Linked DNA regions of Saccharomyces cerevisiae S288C. The protein of the gene in region 2 interacts with the protein of the main gene of each other region in a biochemical or structural test. Each region holds a gene or a part of one and is shown on either strand. Other genes may lie near its edges.

What was found.
Region 1: the proteins of MTE1 (region 2) and MHF2 form a complex in vitro, tested with the Saccharomyces cerevisiae proteins (one study listed by BioGRID).
Region 3: the proteins of MTE1 (region 2) and MHF1 form a complex in vitro, tested with the Saccharomyces cerevisiae proteins (one study listed by BioGRID).

The regions. Positions count from the first base shown.
Region 1 is NC_001136.10:168,818-171,495, reverse strand, and holds MHF2 (Mhf2p), read left to right. Parts: upstream 1-1,887; coding exon 1,888-2,130; downstream 2,131-2,678. Other genes in the region: DExD/H-box ATP-dependent RNA helicase DHH1, read left to right, coding at 1-1,086; ENT1 (epsin), read right to left, coding at 2,418-2,678. UniProt on the Saccharomyces cerevisiae protein: DNA-binding component of a FANCM-MHF complex involved in DNA damage repair and genome maintenance. FANCM-MHF promotes gene conversion at blocked replication forks, probably by reversal of the stalled fork.
Region 2 is NC_001139.9:577,387-580,791, reverse strand, and holds MTE1 (Mte1p), read right to left. Parts: upstream 1,317-3,405; coding exon 501-1,316; downstream 1-500. Other genes in the region: sedoheptulose-7-phosphate:D-glyceraldehyde-3-phosphate transaldolase NQM1, read left to right, coding at 1-357; BUD9 (Bud9p), read right to left, coding at 1,662-3,305.
Region 3 is NC_001147.6:157,571-159,945, reverse strand, and holds MHF1 (Mhf1p), read right to left. Parts: upstream 774-2,375; coding exon 501-773; downstream 1-500. Other genes in the region: alcohol dehydrogenase ADH1, read left to right, coding at 1-398; DUF1 (Duf1p), read left to right, coding at 1,309-2,375. UniProt on the Saccharomyces cerevisiae protein: dsDNA-binding component of a FANCM-MHF complex involved in DNA damage repair and genome maintenance. FANCM-MHF promotes gene conversion at blocked replication forks, probably by reversal of the stalled fork.

The DNA.
Region 1 (2,678 bases), on a different chromosome or scaffold from region 2:
ATGGTGACCACTGGTGGTACCAATTTGAGAGACGATATTCTAAGATTAAATGAAACAGTCCATATTTTGGTTGGTACTCCTGGTAGAGTGTTGGATTTAGCTTCGAGAAAAGTAGCAGATCTGTCTGATTGTTCATTATTCATCATGGACGAAGCCGATAAAATGTTATCTCGTGACTTCAAGACAATAATTGAACAAATCTTATCCTTCTTACCTCCAACTCACCAATCTTTATTATTTAGCGCTACTTTCCCACTAACGGTTAAGGAATTCATGGTTAAACATCTGCATAAGCCTTATGAAATTAATTTGATGGAAGAATTGACTCTAAAGGGTATTACTCAATACTACGCCTTTGTTGAAGAAAGACAAAAGCTACATTGTTTAAATACTTTATTCTCTAAGCTTCAAATTAATCAAGCCATTATTTTTTGTAATTCTACTAACCGTGTCGAATTACTAGCCAAGAAAATCACTGATTTAGGCTATTCCTGTTATTACTCTCATGCAAGAATGAAGCAACAAGAAAGAAATAAAGTTTTCCACGAATTTCGTCAAGGTAAGGTTCGTACATTGGTCTGCTCCGATTTATTGACCCGTGGTATCGATATTCAAGCCGTTAATGTCGTTATCAATTTCGATTTCCCCAAAACGGCAGAAACATATTTACATCGTATTGGTAGATCCGGTAGGTTTGGCCACTTGGGTTTAGCAATCAATTTGATTAACTGGAATGATCGGTTTAACCTTTATAAAATCGAACAAGAACTGGGCACTGAAATTGCGGCTATTCCGGCCACTATCGATAAGTCATTGTATGTGGCTGAAAATGACGAAACGGTACCTGTCCCATTCCCGATAGAGCAACAGAGCTATCATCAACAAGCGATACCTCAGCAACAATTACCATCTCAGCAACAATTTGCTATTCCTCCGCAGCAACATCATCCACAATTCATGGTTCCTCCTTCGCATCAGCAACAACAGGCGTATCCTCCACCGCAAATGCCATCGCAGCAGGGGTATCCTCCACAGCAGGAACATTTCATGGCGATGCCACCTGGTCAGTCACAACCCCAGTATTAAAGAATATCTAAGAAAAAATAACTACTGTGGTGAGATACGCTTTTTTTGTGATCTAATCGTCGATTATTTTTATCTTTTTTCAAATCTCCATTGTGAATTACATTACTTTGTAACCATACTTTTACTATTGATTTTGAACAAGAATCAGTCGTAATTTAATTTTTGTCTCTGCTTTTTTATTTTTTTATCCGTTTTCTCTAGTTTCTGTGCTGATTTTTTTATCCTCATTTGCGCACCGTTTTTATTACTATCACTTTGTTATTTCTTTTTGTTTCTCTAAAATTATCTCAAACCACTTCATTCTTTTACCAGTCATTGTTGTAACCAATACTACCGTCCATATCAAGAGCTCAAGTGCACTTGCCCAGTTTCATCGACACTTTCGCTTTTAGCTAACTTTTATTGTTATAATTTCCACAATAAACTATTCATTTCAACTGACAAGATGAAACTTTCTTTGAATATTCTTTCTTTTTTTGAGTTTTTTTTTTTTTAAAAGCTTTTTTTTTTTTTTTTTTATAGAGAGTAATCTCAAGGAAAGAATATTAATACTGTGTATATATATATATATATATACATATATATATAAAACTGTTTAGATAAATTAACCAACCAAAAAGATACATGTATTTTTATTATTTTTACCTATTATTTTTTACTTTGCTGCATCTTCATGTTTCCGGGAGACCAGAATTATCTTTCGGGCCAAAATATCAAAAATCAATCATACATAAAAGCGTGTTAGAATTTACATTATTGCACTTAGAAAGGACATGAGTACAGAGCACAGTAATTGTGGTGATGTTATCTAAAGAAGCGTTAATAAAAATCCTCAGCCAAAATGAAGGTGGTAATGATATGAAAATTGCCGATGAAGTAGTACCAATGATACAGAAATATTTGGATATATTCATTGATGAGGCGGTGCTGCGGTCCTTGCAATCTCACAAGGACATTAACGGAGAACGTGGCGATAAAAGTCCCTTAGAGTTATCGCATCAAGATTTAGAGCGTATCGTAGGGCTTCTTCTGATGGATATGTAAAAGTATTCAACTTACATTACATCCATGTAAAGACATAAGACATTCCTGGTTGTCTGATAAATTTAAAGCACTATATTTTCTTTCAGTCGTCCTGAACTACGTTAGTTTACTAAAGTAGTTTTTGGAGCGATCGTGCGCTCACATATACAAATATACAGTTCATTTTATACTAAACGCTTGCATCAAAACGCGCTGTGAAATGATTAAATTACTTAGTCCATATATATTATGCGATGCGAGAAAATGCTCATCTGATTAGAAATGCGGACTGGAATGACAGAATCACTTCATAAATCAATTAGAGTATATCCCCGGTTATTTGAGCCATTATTTTGAGACTGCTGTTGAGACTGGTTACCAAAGCCATAGCCTGTTTGTGTTGGTACGACGCTAGTGCTTGGTAAACCTGTATACTGACTGTTCAAAAACGGATTGTGGTTTGGATCATCCGATACTTGCCTATATCCTGTTCCTTGAGAATTGATGAATGTTCCTGTCTTCGTATGTTGGGCAGGAATACGAGCCTCCCCTACATTTCCGAATGTATC
Region 2 (3,405 bases):
CTTTCTGTTAAGAAGATATACAGTTACTATAAGAGGCATGGTTATGCAACTGAGGTAATGGCGGCTTCTTTCAGGAATTTAGATGAATTGAAGGCGTTAGCCGGTATTGATAATATGACTCTCCCACTGAACCTTCTAGAACAGTTATATGAATCAACAGATCCTATTGAAAACAAATTGAATTCTGAGAGTGCTAAGGAAGAAGGCGTCGAAAAAGTCTCTTTTATCAACGACGAGCCTCATTTCAGATATGTTTTAAACGAAGATCAAATGGCTACAGAAAAACTATCAGATGGTATCAGAAAATTCTCCGCAGACATTGAAGCACTGTACAAACTGGTTGAAGAAAAAATGTGATCATTAAGAGTAGAGGTACCTACTTATATATATAAATATATATATACCACTTTCCTTTTCGGTACTTAGTATTGAATTTGTTTGAGTATATGTGCATAGCATAGTGTACAGACTTATATATTCATTAAAATTCTGACGTATAATCAAATTCCGAGGGGTTCGTGAACAATTCTTCGTATCCCGCCCACTCTCCTTTTACCACTTTTGGATAGGTTCGCCATATCTTTCTTTCTGTCGGAACCGTCTCTGACTTTAGCTTCTTCGGTAATCGTGGCGTAATTACCTTGCGCAATATTATCATTATTCAACGCAACTTTTCCGGCTGTCTGCACTTTAGTGCTTGTGTTTGTTTCGTGTAGTTGTGGTGTCACTTCCTGAATCTTTTGGCTCCTTATGCTCGGTCTATTTGATTCATTTACCACATTAGTACTTAATATCCTCTTGGGCTTCTTGAAAGGCTTATTGACCTTCAGAGTAAGTTTGCTGATGTTGAATCCTCCCTTGGTGGCATTGTCCTCTGTCTGCTTGCGATTGGGAGTTGTGACTTTTATGTTCGAATGAACTTCTCTCGCAGTTGAGATATGATTCAAACTTGGTGCATTGTCTGAGATAAGAGGGCGTTGTTTTTGCACCGACAAATTTGAAGGATATGCCCTAACATGCGTTGCTGCCACTTGAATATCTCTATCGTACTCCTCAATAATATTTGAAATAATCACCAAAAACTGACTAAAAATCCTATGTTCTTCAATATCAAAACCTTCTGGATTTAGAATTGCTTTCAGCTCTTTTGAATTTATTTTAAATTCACTAGCTAACAAAACGTTATCCTTTTCCGTATAAAGCATGAATCTGTTGTTTAACTGAAAGTATTTCAGTCTACCATCGTGCCAGATTTTACGTTTCTTGTAAAGCTGATCAGTGTATTGGCATTCATACTCAACGATATGAGAGAGCATACTCTGTCATGCGATCCTTGGGGATTTCTTCTTTCTGGTGTTCGTGAAATGGGCTAGCTTTGGCGTGCAGTTCAAATTGAGATTTCACATCGCGAGAAGCTCTCAAACCGACTTTTTTCCCTAAATAGAGACCAATTATAAGAGCAAATAACATGCATATAAGATTGAGGTAAAGAGATATTATCGCTATTCCAACGAATATGAGCTCTTGGTGTTGAGATTTTTCCCTTGGTAGTTTCAGGAGGCTACCATATATTATTACATTGTTTTCTGAAATCTATAACATGGGTGTCTAATTATATAGAGAGTAGCAGGAAATCTTCGACGAGTAAGTCCAGCATGGAGTTACTCTCTTATTATTCCCACACCAAATCCTATTCCTATGCTAGCAAAGATAGCTAACATCTCTATACATCCTAATACAAAGCACAATGTCCTGAACCATTGTACGTCAATGTCCCATTCAAACCCTTTGAGGAGGCCGATTCTATGTTCATAATTCATTATCATTCTCATTAATCTATAATTTGAAACGCCATTATTTCCATTGATTGAAAAGAAAAAGAATAAGGGCGGAACAAAAAGGCAGATGCACAGTGTAGTTATAACCCTTGGAATACTATAAATCTCGGAGAAGCCATATATTCGGGAATCAAATGAACGTATGGAGGAGGAATCTATTCTTTGAATGGGCATTGTTTCCATTTGAAAACTTAATTGCTGATCTCGATCAATTTCTTGAGGAATTTTTTTATATTGATGTTGCTTAATACTATTGTCACCTTTTCCGACCCCAGAAGCTAAACCAGCTTCTATATTACTTTCGTATTCCTTTTCGTGTAGTTGGTTTGGACTACGCATGGTGTCCATTGCGATACCAAGAGGGACTTGAGGATTAGGAATTTTCTCTAAATCAATTTCGTTGGTATTCTTCTGCCTTTGATCTTGCATTCGAGTTCCAGAGGTTTCATTAGTTGGATTATACTGCCCATTAGAATGCACTGTATTTTTTAAAACAGCGGAAGAACTTCGCTGGTCATTAGCAAGGTCAGCTGCTTCAAAAGGCTTTAATATGTCAATTAATAGGGAATGGTTTCTTGGGGTTTTGAGGCTAGTGGACTTATTCGCTGGTATTCTGTTCCAGGCCTTTTTAGGAATTTGAAATTCATGTGGGATAAACGCTTTATCGGGAAAAGTACCATTTAGCGTGCTGTTAGGAACTCTGCTTTTTGCTACATCAACAGCCCCTTCCACAGGAGAAACAAGATCTACACCATACCGCATAGAAGGAAATGAGTATGTACCTTGTGTTTGCCTTGTAGACTTATTTCCGGAGACGGTAGCCCTTGGTCCCTGGTACGGCGCAGTTCCTTCGGGTGGTGGATAGAATAAAGAAGAAGGTCTGGTTCCCAGTTTCTCGAAGGATTTCATTGAAGATGATTCCATATGATCTCCTCTGGTCGTCCCAGCGTGCTTTTCTGCCGAACCCATATTCAACAGCACCGAAGTAGAGATGGTACCGCTGCTGCTGTGTCCATTTAGGTTAGTTTCAGCGGAAGACCCGTTTGAGGAATTTCTGTTCCTCTCATTTGAATTTGGCGGAGGTAAAGGGAATGCTGCTACTTCTGGATCTCGTCGTACTAAATCTAAAATTGAATCCTCTAGATCTCTATGTGATTCCTGATGGAAATTGTCATCTCTAGCATCTTCAAAGACTTGTTTACCATCAGTACTACTTGAATTTGTATCTCCTTTGAGGATTTCACTATACTTGCTATCATCAATATAAACATTGTATGACTTCACTTCTGATGATGGAAATGAATCAGATCCTTCGATGAACAGCGAACCAGATCTTATTCTTGCTCGCGGTTGATGGAATATTGGGTGGTCGTTCTCAGGTAAAGATGCGGATGAAGCCGTTGCCGATCCAGATGTGGATTTTGAATTTTCTGTCGTTATCGAAACATCTCTGGTTATTTTCGTCATTTCATAGGATGAAGAATGAAATTGTTGTAAAAAAAAAGGTAGTGAACGTATAAAGTTGGATGCTGTCTTCGAAAAAAAAAATAAGGTGTTAAATGAGTGG
Region 3 (2,375 bases), on a different chromosome or scaffold from region 2:
AAGTCTTCATTGACTTCACTAAGGAAAAGGACATTGTCGGTGCTGTTCTAAAGGCCACTGACGGTGGTGCTCACGGTGTCATCAACGTTTCCGTTTCCGAAGCCGCTATTGAAGCTTCTACCAGATACGTTAGAGCTAACGGTACCACCGTTTTGGTCGGTATGCCAGCTGGTGCCAAGTGTTGTTCTGATGTCTTCAACCAAGTCGTCAAGTCCATCTCTATTGTTGGTTCTTACGTCGGTAACAGAGCTGACACCAGAGAAGCTTTGGACTTCTTCGCCAGAGGTTTGGTCAAGTCTCCAATCAAGGTTGTCGGCTTGTCTACCTTGCCAGAAATTTACGAAAAGATGGAAAAGGGTCAAATCGTTGGTAGATACGTTGTTGACACTTCTAAATAAGCGAATTTCTTATGATTTATGATTTTTATTATTAAATAAGTTATAAAAAAAATAAGTGTATACAAATTTTAAAGTGACTCTTAGGTTTTAAAACGAAAATTCTTATTCTTGAGTAACTCTTTCCTGTAGGTCAGGTTGCTTTCTCAGGTATAGCATGAGGTCGCTCTTATTGACCACACCTCTACCGGCATGCCGAGCAAATGCCTGCAAATCGCTCCCCATTTCACCCAATTGTAGATATGCTAACTCCAGCAATGAGTTGATGAATCTCGGTGTGTATTTTATGTCCTCAGAGGACAACACCTGTTGTAATCGTTCTTCCACACGGATCCACAGCCTAGCCTTCAGTTGGGCTCTATCTTCATCGTCATTCATTGCATCTACTAGCCCCTTACCTGAGCTTCAAGACGTTATATCGCTTTTATGTATCATGATCTTATCTTGAGATATGAATACATAAATATATTTACTCAAGTGTATACGTGCATGCTTTTTTTACGGCAGCATTTTTTTTTCAACTCTGATCGCCCCTTTACTGCTCCCTCCGCCCAAATTCCATTGCAGTTCAAATGTATACTGAAAAAAACCCCATTGCTATTGTTAAACAGTGAACTCTCTTTTTGCCCAATAATAACATTATAACAAGTAACTACCAGCACCATAACACCGTGTCCTATCCTGGTATTAATTACTACTTGAAGAACGACTACATCGCTTTTTGCAACTACAATTAGAACGCTCCGCCCCTTCCTTTTGACGTCGTATAAGTGTAGTTGGATTGCAATTGCATAGATACAGGAATTAGTTCAAGCCATTCCTAACGAGGAAACGATACATTCTAGCAAATCTACGCTTTTCTGACTTTAGAAGAGCAAGCCAATAAAAAGCCGGAGAAAATAGAAAGGTAATAATGAATCAGTTGACAGTGAGTTATGGCCTAATTTCCCCAGATTACTGCACTTCCCAAGATGCGCACATCTTACCGATAACAAAGATTCTGTACCCGGATATACCTGGTAAAAACTATTTTCTTACTTCAGGAAGGGATGGTTCCATAATTTTGCACAAGAACACACAGCTCTCGAACGAGCCTGAGACTGCTGCAACTACCATAAAAAACGATGCGATAAGAATGCAAGTTCATAGCGATTGGGCAAGCGATCTAATACATGTTAATATGAAAAATTCAGACCCATCTGCAGGGGACACATTCATATCAGTAAGTCACGATTTTTCGATAGTATTAATTAGTGTGAATGCGCAGTTAACTACCTGGGATAAGAAAATAATCGGTGACCACGACGATTATATCAAGTGCATAGTGCCCATACATTATGAAATGTCAAATGACTATGAATTGGAAGAACAAGAGGGTGGTCCTGATAATGTACACGATGGAATAAATAATGGCATTGTTGTTGATGAACAGAACAACTTTCTTTTTGTGACAGGTGGTCTAGATAGAAAAATCAAACTTTGGTGCCTGAGCAGCGGGCCAGAAAAAATGGCTACGCTACTACACACATTTGATAATGCACAATCAAACGACACAGGCTCAATATACTCCATGAGTCCCATCATCCCAAAATACAGTTTTGATGACAATCAAACGTCTCGTCCCTTTGATTTTGTTGCCGGAGACTGTAATGGTGATTTGATTTTTTATTCGTGTAAATATCGTAAGGAGGTGATAAGAATTCAAAACGCCCACAGAACAAATATAAAAGTAGTAAGAACTCTTGATGACTCCACACGACTAATCAGTACCAGCTCAGATGGTGTAATAAATGTATGGGACTTGAATTGTAGGCATGATCAGACTACTGGTGCCCTTCAGCTTCCCAAAAAAATTGGATCTTGGTCCTGGGATTCTTCCATATGGTGTGTCCAAGGAACGAGCCTTGATAAGTTGTATTTTGGTGACTCTCAGGGCAATGTTATGAGAGCAAACTTATCCAGTTATGAAGATGCTAAACT